Caenorhabditis elegans: one gene and its partners. The protein of the gene in region 2 interacts with the protein of the main gene of each other region in a pairwise test. Each region holds a gene or a part of one and is shown on either strand. Other genes may lie near its edges.

Evidence for each region.
Region 1: the proteins of zoo-1 (region 2) and abu-15 interact in a two-hybrid assay, tested with the Caenorhabditis elegans proteins (one large-scale study listed by BioGRID).
Region 3: the proteins of zoo-1 (region 2) and C27F2.4 interact in a two-hybrid assay, tested with the Caenorhabditis elegans proteins (one large-scale study listed by BioGRID).

What each region holds. Positions count from the first base shown.
Region 1 is NC_003283.11:5,156,536-5,160,293, forward strand, and holds abu-15 (Activated in Blocked Unfolded protein response), read left to right. Parts: upstream 1-2,066; 5' UTR 2,067-2,087; coding exon 2,088-2,312; intron 2,313-2,359; coding exon 2,360-3,301; 3' UTR 3,302-3,372; downstream 3,373-3,758. Other genes in the region: srx-39 (G-protein coupled receptors family 1 profile domain-containing protein), read right to left, coding at 118-223, 266-396, 439-650, 695-918, 984-1,144, 1,187-1,225.
Region 2 is NC_003279.8:14,527,647-14,531,404, forward strand, and holds the start of zoo-1 (Tight junction protein ZO-1), read left to right. Parts: upstream 1-1,882; 5' UTR 1,883-1,885; coding exon 1,886-1,981; intron 1,982-3,285; exon of another isoform or gene 3,286-3,334; intron 3,335-3,758.
Region 3 is NC_003281.10:4,958,634-4,962,391, forward strand, and holds the start of C27F2.4 (Methyltransferase BUD23), read right to left. Parts: upstream 1,672-3,758; 5' UTR 1,664-1,671; coding exon 1,616-1,663; intron 1,442-1,615; coding exon 1,309-1,441; intron 1,013-1,308; coding exon 929-1,012; intron 885-928; coding exon 782-884; intron 736-781; coding exon 400-735; intron 296-399; coding exon 148-295; 3' UTR 1-147. Other genes in the region: vps-22 (Vacuolar-sorting protein SNF8), read right to left, coding at 1,979-2,171, 2,235-2,423, 2,466-2,572, 2,623-2,696, 2,745-2,851, 2,900-2,976, 3,019-3,081; C27F2.9 (JmjC domain-containing protein), read right to left, coding at 3,322-3,475, 3,529-3,747.

The DNA of each region.
Region 1 (3,758 bases), on a different chromosome or scaffold from region 2:
TTTACAAGCACATGTTCTGAACCAAAATTCATGATATAAAAATAACTCAGTTCCTAAAACCCTAGACAATGACAATTGGCTTGAGCATTACAATTCCACTAACAAAGACCTCTATTCTTAATCCAATGCAGCCGATTTCGATCTAACAACGTTGAATGCCAGTGGCTGGCCGCTTCTGGAACAGCTCCTTCGGATTTCTGGATTGAAAATCAATGTGAAAAACCTAAATTAGAACTTTTTGAGTATTTAGAATATTTACAATTACCCATCAAACATATGCACTGAAGACCAGAGAATAGAAGAGAAAATAAAGGTGTAATCAATGTCTGGAATAAAACGCGGACCCCAAGTAAAACTACAAACGATTGCAAGAACAAATAGAGTTTGGCTTATGGACTGAAATTATTATTTAAAACAATCTATAAAGATCAATATTACCTGTTTCAACAAGCTAAGTTCTTTTGAGTGCTTTTCTGTTTTTGAGCTAATTTTTAACACTTTTCCGATAGCTAAAAAGTCCAAAATAGTACTGGAAATAGTCAATGAAAAAACAAGATAAAAGTCTAAATAAGTTGCATAAAAACGACAAACGTCTCCTCCAGAATAACGAAATGCTCTTGTTTCTTGGTCATAAAAATTTTGACATCCCACTGCAACTCTCCCGTCAATTTTAGTTGACATTAAACTAACCTACAAATTTGAAAAAATAGTGTTATGATTGTAAGTGCGTAGGAATAAATTCCCATTACTATACAAAACGTGAACAAAACACTAAACATCATACGATAAAGCATTGGTTTATACACTGCTAGAATTCTGTTAAGGGATATCATGAAATGAAAAGTTGTTGAAGCACTGTAGCAAATCATAAGAACATATCCACAAACACTCGAATAATTTGATAAAATATCGCTCTCGCTGAATGGAATTTTTATTTTAACTGTTGGCCTCGCTGAATGAAAAAAAAAACTTGTTCAACTTACAAAAATACCATTGGAGTTGCATAGAATAAGTAGAGCGCGGAAAATGTTCCATCAGCAATCGCTAGACCAACAGTTAAAATTGCAAATGGTTTTTGCAACTTTGTAACTTTTATCATTATAATCACAATTGCCCAATTTATTGTAAATCCACAGAGGGAAAACTGAAGGTACATCAATTTGTTTGAGCTACAATAAAATCTTACCAAAAGCATAATTGCAGAGATTGTTGTCACGGAAATCATGATTGTAATTTGCAGCCAACAGGAAATGAAAAAGTTAATGTTATGAATGAGAGAGAAATATCTGGAAAAATTGAAACTTTCTTGTCAGGCTCGAGTCACCTGGGCCGGTGGCGTTCAGCTACAATACAAACATAGTTTCTTTCACATTTCGCATAGATACAATTTATTTTTAAAAAATCCGTTAGGCTATTAACTAAATGTTTTTATACCTAATTTTTTAAACTTTGAAATGTGTTTCAAAGTGAGTTCAAAACTAAAATTTCAAACTCTAGAGATCCCGGAAGCTAGGAAATCCCAGAAGCGAGGCAGCAACCACTGTAGCTCTATACAATCAAATCGAAAAAATGTTCGGGTCTGAAAACCAACTTATGTCATGCATGACAAATCATGTAAATTAAATTAGAGTCGAAATTTGTCGTTCTTACATGTCTACGTGTCTATGTGGTTCATTGATTCTTTTGATTTTCGATTAGCTAGAACGGTTCAAAAATTTAAACAAAATTAAAAGATAAATCTTATAAAAATAGATTGCTTATCGCTGTTTGCCCTTGAAAACTAGTTCTCATGTGCGAACCTTGCGTGAACAAGGTCATAGAGCAAACTCAAACAAGACCTCTCTTCTTTGCTTGCGCAATACTACAATTTATTCCTGTATTAGCTCGGAGTTTTTTAGTGACTCGATAGCTTACTTGAAGCTTTAGGCGAACGCTTTTGCGCGCGGCCGCAAGAGAGAGTCACATTTAGAAGAGGATCAGGAAATTAGGAACTGGAACCGGTTTACTGAGCAGCTGGAAAAGTCATATAAAAGAGAAGAACAGAGCTTCATTACCATCCGATTTCCTCGGTTCGAATCATTATTAAAATGCGCTTTACTTCACTTTCTATTGCGTTCCTTGCATGTGCCCTTGTGGTATCTGGAAGTGCAATCCGTGAAAAGAGACAGTGTGGATGTGCTCAGCCACAGCAGAGCCAATGCTCGTGCCAACAAGTTCAACAGACTCAGTCATGCTCGTGCCAATCTGCTCCAGTTCAACAACAATCCCCATCCTGCTCATGCGCTCAGCCACAACAAACTCAACAAGTTCAGGTACAGTTCATTAACATATTCGCAAACCATTAAATCAAAAATTTTAGGTTCAATCTACTCAATGCGCCCCAGCTTGCCAACAGAGCTGCCAACAGCAATGCCAGGCTTCTCCATCAGTGTCCCAGTGCCAGCCACAATGTCAGCAACAGTGCCAGGCTCAATGCACTCCAATGTACAACCCACCAACCACTACTACCACCACCCAAGCTCCAGTTGTCCAATACCAACAGTGCCAACCAGTATGCCAACAGCAATGTCAATCTACCTGTGTTCAACAACAACAACCAGCAGCTCAATGTCAGCCACAATGCCAACAACAATGCAATGTTGCCTGTGATTCCCCATCCACTACCACCCAGGCCCCACAAGTGATCCAAATCCAACTCGAGATCCAACAAGCTCAAGCTCAATGCCAACCACAGTGCCAGCAACAATGCCAATCTTCATGTGTCCAGCAACAGCAACAATCCAACCAGTGCGAGCCAGCTTGCAACACTCAATGCTCTGATATCTGCCAACAAACTGCTCAGGCTACCCAACAAGTCTACAACCAGAACATGAACCAGAACACCAACACTCAAATGTACAACCCATACAATACCAACACCAACCAGAACGCTAACTGCGCTCCAGCTTGCCAACCAGCCTGCGACAACTCCTGCACTTCCCAGCAGACTCAGCCAATGTACCAACCATACGACACCACCACTGAAGCTCCAGCTCAAGTCATCCAGATTGTTCTCCAGACTTCTGTTGCTCAATCATCCCAATGTGCCCCACAATGCGAACAATCCTGCCAACAGCAATGTGTTCAGCAACAACAGCCAGCTGCCCAGTGCCAAACTGCCTGCCAATCATCATGCTCTAACTCATGCCAAGCTGCTCAACCAGCAACTACTGCCTGCCAGCAGAGCCCACAACAGAGCTCCTGCTCTTGCCAAGCTAACTACTCTCCATGCGGAAATGGACAATGCTGCCGCAGAAAGTAATTTAATTGTTCCTGATTCTTGATTTTTGTATATACCGAAACAATTCAGTTTCAATAAACGCATAACTTTTTAAACCTTCTCGCTTTAAAAATCTGACGTGACATAAAAATAACCAGAATAAACCAGTTGTTTTCGAAACACAACATGTTTATTTAAAAACTGTTAGCGTCTCTTCTTCGACTACATTTTTAGAAAATCTCATAAACATTTGTTCAGTTGGCATTGATACAGGTTTACGTATGTTCTATCTATTTCTGTACTCATTGAAAAATGCTCTCATCAAAGAAATATTTATAGAAAAGTTAGATTTACAAGAATTTTCTAGCTCGCCAGCAGGAGTTTAGAAACTAGAGATTAAAAAAAAAAAGCTCACTGATGAAGTATTTTAAATTCAATTTAGTTTCAAATCGTTTAGGTTCACGACTTTACGTGTTTCACTACCACACTGTTCCTTCAT
Region 2 (3,758 bases):
TTAGACTAATAGACTAGTATCTACGTTTCTATTACACATAGATACTAGTCTAGTTATGCATTTTTGAAAAGTTGATATACCAATGCACCATGTTCAATGATTGATTGGTCAGGTTTAAAAAAGTACTACGAACTGTAGTTTAAAGGTTCATGTTGTTTCCTCAGCTAGGCGTATTTGAAGCATATGTAGTTCAATGTATGTGTCTATTCAGAAAACGTACATGTCTTTTTCTAGTTAATTAACTGATTTAGTTGGTTGATCAATGCACCATGTCTAAAAACTGAATGGTTAGCTTCGTATCCCCCAATAATGTGTATAAGCCTCTAAACTACAACGGCAAGCTCAAAAATTACATTCTGCAAAAAAAAACTAATCAACTTTTTTCCAGTTTATGAGTTTTTGAGCTGAAGTGTTTTGTGCCAATCACCAAACAAGACTTGTCCATTTTTTGTTCTGAAATCGATGTTTTAGACTGTATTTCAAGCTTATATGATACACTGTCTTGGGAAAATAGGTTATTGAACCATCTGACTTTGGTTTGACAAAAGCATAAAAGTGACAAAGTCTAATACCTCACAGTTTTGAAACTTTCGTTCAAGACTGTAATAATTATTAATTAGAAATAGCTAACTAGAACCGATATACATAGGTACTTAATTCTATATATCTATATACCTATATAATTATATATATACCGAATTCTATAACACACCATGGAATTTTACCATATATTCCCTTTTTAGTACGTTTATATCTCGGTTGTCTTTGATCATATTTCAAAAATTCAAAATTCAAACGACACAATTTTTTTCAAATCTATCGTTATGCTTTGGTTTTTGAAGGTATCAAAAATATTTTTAAACCGTTGAAATATGAGCCGACAAAGTCGATTGACGGGGGGCCATACTAATAGGGAATGTACGGTATATATAATTTATGTACATATATGTATTATAACGTATGATAACATTCATACACTTCCTTTTTTTGACTAACTCAATTGCATGGAATTTGAATTTAAGACTACACACATTTTCCAAACAATTACTATTTTTCTTCTCTCATATCTCTAATTACTCCGATACTATTCAAAAATTCAATTCCCCATCCCCCCAGAAAACCCCAAAATTACTCCAAATTCCACGCATCCCAAATTCAATTTCCTTTACATGACCCCTTTTCCCCATTCTCCTACCCTTCTGCCTACCAATATGTCGTCAAATTCAATGTCTGCGTACCCGATATATGCGTATGTATTGAATGGAATAACACACCATTTGACGACATTTTCCCCGTTTAAACTAACAACTTTTCAAGGTTGTTTATTGGATTTTGCAGGGTTTTGTATGGGAAAAGTTCAGGATTTTCCTATAAAATCAATATTTCTTTGGAATTTATAATTGTTTAAGTACTGTGATAACTACTTAAATAGAACTTGTTTTATTTGAGTTTGTTAAAATTTAATTTGTTCATAATGTAACCGCTTTAAACGGGGCTTTTTTACTATTATTAAATTTAAAAGTTGACCTATTATAACTTTTTCTCAATAAGAAGTTTCAATTTTCATACTAATTACTACTTCTATACAGTTTTTTTCGATGTTACTTTAAAAAATTGAAAACTTGTCCTTATAAATTAGAATTTTCTGGTTATTCTTATTATTTCTGTTGAAATTGAACTTTAAAACGTTTTCAATTGTTCTTTGAGTTAAAATATTAATTTTTATAACAAAATTTAAAAAAAAAACCGCAGTCTTCAAAAAGCATAAGAAACAAACTGAACTTCATTGCTTTTTCCGCTTCTATTTGTATATACGATTAGCCTCTATTTACCCTGTGATTTTTGATTATTTTCTTTTTGTATATAACAACTTTTATATTCCAGAATGTCAGAGGACCCATCATGGTACAAGACCTCCATGTCAAGTACGTCTTCTTGTATTGAGGAGGAACATGAGCCTGTCGATCAGGATGAGGAAGAGGTTAGTATTTTTGTTTGTTTCTAAAAAAAAAATTAAAGCTTTATACCAAATTCTAACAATTTTTTTGTTGGATATAGCAATATAATGATGTTTTTCAAGTAGTGTCGGAAAATTAAAAAGTTTAGAAAATGAACGTTACCGCTGTAAGCATGTATTTTAATACTGTTGTGACGTCATAAATGTATTTAAATAAGGTAGCTGTTATACCGTCATCACGTACAATTTTAAGAATTTATTTGAGCTTTCACACTACAATATTTCGATACGTTTTCAAAATCAAAGCTATAACTAACTGTAACGCTATGTCCTTTGTTATACGTTACAACGTTTTATTACACACTATAATATAGATTTAGCCTGATTTCAAATGTTATAAATTATACGTTATCAACAAGATTAAAAGGTTAAGGTTATAGTATCATATATTAAAAAAACGTTAAAATTTTAATTGAACGATCATATTAAAACAACGTTTTTACATGTGTAACGAATTATAACGTTAGTTTTTAAAATAAAGGTTATAAAGTATCGTGTAATATTTTTAAAAAAAGTTAAAACGTAACGTTAAGTTAAGGCTATACATAGTATATTTTTCGTAATAAGGTATAACGTTTTAAAGGTGGGGATATTGTCTAAGTACACTTATTATGATCCAAAACGACCAAATATCATAATATAACACAATTTTAGATTTTTCATAATTTCCGGCCTAAGTTTTGGCATATTGCCAAAACTTTGAAAAATCAGAGCTTTTGAAAAAAAGTCCAAAGGTATGCCGCATGTTTCGACCCCTACAATGTTTTAATACGAATAATTAAAACAAGATTACAGAATTAAAAATGTAGAAAAACAATTTTTTTTTGGTCGACTTCCAAAATTATGAGTGGCAAAAACTCAGTAATTGTCACCACTTTTTGACAATAAATAAAAAATTTTCAAAAATTTTTTGAAAAGTTTTATTATGATATTAGATCATTTTGGGACTTTTGGTTTTTAACAACTTCCCCACTGGCACTACTCCACCTTTAAGATGTATGTTTTAACGGTATAACGTATAGGGTTAAAAGCAACTTTAAATTAAGGTTTTTACATAGTTGAACGATTTTGTCCATTTTTGTCGCGATGCTTGTTCCACTAGCAAAAACTGAACATGCTCACACTTTCTTTGAAAACCGCGAAAAATTAATGCCAAAAGATAGAAAACCATTCAAAACGCGTTTACTACCCCTGAAACAAAACGTCTAATAATATGAGAGTCAGGTCAAAAATAAAAGAGACACTTTTCTCATTCTCCTCCCATCCACTTTTTTCTCGTTTTTCAACATAGTGTAAATGAGAAATGTGTGTGTATGAAAAAGAAAAAGAGCCTCTTCTTCTTCTTCTTTCTTCTTCCACACAACTTCCCGAGGGACCCCCTTTTCCCAGTTTTAACCAGACATTGATATCATGCCCTTCTTAGAAGAGAGAGAGAGAGAGAAGACTCTTTTTGTTTCTATTCAACTCGTGTGTCGCTTATTTGACTTTTGATGTCTACTGGTAGCCTAGTTATGAGAAAAATTACAATAGATTTTAGAATTCTTAGGCTGTATGGGTACTGTAATTTATCACCTATAGGAAAAATTGATAGCATTACATATATGGTTTTAAATTACTCATAATTTGGGGTAGATCAAAAAAGAGAAACTTTTTAAATTGGTATCTAACAAATGCTATATCTATATAGTTGATTTATTATTTTCCAAGAAGTTATGAAAAATTAGTCTTTCACCATTTTTGA
Region 3 (3,758 bases), on a different chromosome or scaffold from region 2:
GTACTTAGGAAAAATCCATTTATCAATAAATTTTTACTATGAAATGAGGAAGAAAACAAAGAAAAATTGAAAAAGAACAAGAACAACAAAATTCAAACAGTAGTAAATGGAATAACAAAAGAACAATTTTTGTAATAACTGAAAAATTTAGAACTTGGTCTTTCTCTTTCTTCCGGAATACTTCGACTCGTGTCTGACGTCGCGTCCCTGCTTAATCTGTCGTTGACGTTTCGCCTCAATCCATGCTTTCGATCCTTTCGCGACTTTCTCATTTTTACGAGAGTTCCACACAAATCTGAAATTATATATGAAAAATCTATAATACGCTTTGATTTTTTGAGTTCAAGATACAAGATTCAAGATTCATTAGTTATTTTTCAAATAAATCCGAATTCTCACCTTCTTCCAGCATTATCAATCTGTGTTCTGCTTTCTTCTCCATCTTCAGTCAATGCTTGTGGAAGTTGAACCACTCCTCCAGTCATCAAAACCAAATAAACTTTCTTCCGTTTGGCGGCTTCAGGAAAATCAACAACAAGTCCTCCATTGAATCCTGCTTTATGAGCTTGACCCATAATCAGATCGCATTGCTCATCGTTTTCCGGGTAGAATTGGAAAACTGCTCGTGATCCACGCCCAAGGCATCCATAGAGTGATTGAAAAAAGAAGAGAAGACGTTTACGTGGATTCTCATCTGAAGCATTTGCATGGCATAACCATTGAATGGCTGAGATACTGAAAATATTTAAGGTTGGGTACATAGAAAACTGTAATAAATTACCTAATTGCACCATCAAAACTTCCAGGCCTGAATGGCATTCCTAGTCCCATATCTTGATGAATGAAATCTCCAGATTCAAGGTCTTCATCTTGACGAGCAATTTCTGTAAAAGAGACGAAACATTTACATTTTTCCAGGTAATCTTACCTAACATTGGTCTGGAAACGTCAACGCCAACAAACATGTGACCAGCATCAAGTATAACTTCAGAACTCATTCCGGTACCGCAACCTGAAGAATTTTTGTTGAAAATCAAGCGTTATTATCCAGATGCCAACTTTTGCTTCAAGAATAGGGTCCGACGAATTTCCCCAAATTCAGAATGAATGTGCGCCTTTAAAGAGTACTGTAGTTGTGAAACCTTTGTCATTGCGGAATTTGCAAAGGTCAAAAAAAATTTTTAGTTTCTTCAAAGTTTGATCTGTTTTTATATTTTTCTTGCAATAAACTTAAAAGAAACGAATGAAAACTTCGGAAAAAAACGCGGAGTTGGAAACTACAGTACTCTTTAAGAAAACTTTCCTTACCAATATCTAGCAAAAATCCAGATTTCCCTTCTGGAAGTGCCAATAGCTCTAGTGCTCTTTCAGCCATTTCATGTTGAATTGCAGTGATGTGGGAGTTTGATGCATATTTTGCTGCTTCGGTTTCATTGTAGTACTGAAAAATTGAAAATAGAGATGGTTTTTGCTGTAAATAATTTTTTATATTCAATTAACAAAATAAACCAGAGTAAAAAAATCAATAATTATCGATGTTGAAATTTTCCGAGACAATTTTAAGGTAGAAGATGAGAATACTCATTATAATGTATATTTTTTGAGAAAAACGAACCAAATCCGGCGGTCCAGTGTGCTCTGGTTTCACTTTGAACGAAGCCATTTTGACTGAAAATCAGAAGTTCAAATTAATATTTTTTCTATTTTTACAATTATTATTAAGAAATATAAGAAATTGTTATAAGACAATTGATATAAAAAGAAAAATACGTTTACTTTAACATAAATTCAATTTATTGGATCGTATGGGATAGAAATCTTGAATAAATAAATAAAAATTCTATTTACATCTACAGTATCGACGAGTGAAGTCTACTAAAAGCATCAAAAACAAAAGTTTCTGGCAAGTCAGGGTTTTTGGAGGAAAATACAAATCATAAGGTACATAAGTCTGAAATTCGTTGATGGGAAAATATCATCACTGATAATTGTTAAAGCTCATGCTGTGTAAAGATTCGGAAACTGAAGTGCTTGATGACGAATGACAATATTGTTGAAGGAAAAGTGAAGGGAACCAGTATTGTGTTGTATCGGATGCCTGTTCATCTGTCCATGCGAGTCCTTCCTTCACAAGATGTTCCAAGGCAGAGCTTGCGCGGGCTTCGTCCCATCTGAAAAATTAACTAATTAAATAACAAACTAAAAAATTAACAACTTTTGGATAATAGACCTACCTCAATTTATCAATAATCAATTCCTTTGTAACGTAAGCAGCATCTTCTGCAAGTTGAAGAACTCTTGAATGATCCATACTCAATTCTCCTGGAACCGACTGAACCAGAAAACGACCACCACCGAGAGGAACCAATTCAAATCCGTTTCCAAGTACTTTCAATTTATCTACGGCACGAAGAATATCATCTCTGAAAACATACATTTTTAATTGATTTCATAAATATTATTACGTTGAAATGGTATCTTTACGAGTTCTTGATCGTGTTCTCATTAATCGATTACGAATTTCTTCAACTGTCATGATGCCTCCATTTATGTGTGTTGTAGAAAGACAAATCTGAGAATAAAAATAATTATTTCACTACATAATAATCAGACATTTTTTACCTCAACAATTTGAATTCCCAGCTCGTAATAAAAGTCTCCGAAACCAAGCGCTTTCGCCCAGAATCCTTTACTCGCTGAAAACAATTAATTTGAAATACTCTGTTAAAATGATGAAAATATACATGCTAACGGATCAACTCCAACACTAGCACACATTTCTTGAAAATGACGACGAAATTGAGAGTTCTTCTTGATTTCATCTCGATGTCGTTGCGCAAACATTTCCAGTCTGTAAAAATTGCAGTTTGACACTAAATGTCCGATTAAAAAAACCAACCCAGCCGAAAGTTGCTCTAACTGTTGCGAGAATTGTACCAGTTGCTCTCCAGCCATTTGATCTCCCTTTGCGGCAAACTGAAAAATAGGAATTTGGGGTTTTTCAGTCAGTTAGCTGACCTTATTGGCAGTTTCCTGCTTTTTCTGAATTGCAGCCACTCCAATTCTTCGTCGTGTCGCCATCCTGGGAAGAAAAACTAATTTAAAATATGCTAAATGCATAAAATGAAATAATGTAGTTGGCAAAAGAACCAATAATTAATTTTTAAAAAATTACAATTTTCTGAAAATAATAACTATTCTTAAATCACAGAATTTCAGAATGTCAGGTACCAGTAAATTGAACTCGAAAATAAAATTACTTAACAAAAAAAGAAACTTAACAATTATTATAAATACAATTTTTGAAAACAATAATAAGGTCTATGGACTTAAAAAAGTGCTAATAAAAACAGAAGATTCAATGTTTAAAGTGGCATGCCACCATTTATCGGGAAAATAGATTACTTCTCCAGATTTCATTTCGCATTCCAATGGAAGTTCGTCGCGGGACAATTTTGGATAGTCATATGTGTACCTGTAACAAGGAATGTTAACTCCAAAGATAAAATAAAAATACAAAAAACTAACCATTCCAATGTTGTTTTATCCGGATTCCAGTTCGGTCTCTGCTCATATGGATACAGGAACCACCGTTTTGATCCATGAATCACTTCAGCGAATCCAGGTCCGTGAAAATGAAATGGTACTCCAGTTCCAGCACCCGCAATACCAAATGAGAGTGCTGCAGTGTGACCGGGAAGTTTCCATTCAGGTTGTTTGTATTTGTCGAGAAGCGGCTTCCAGACTCTGAAAACGTT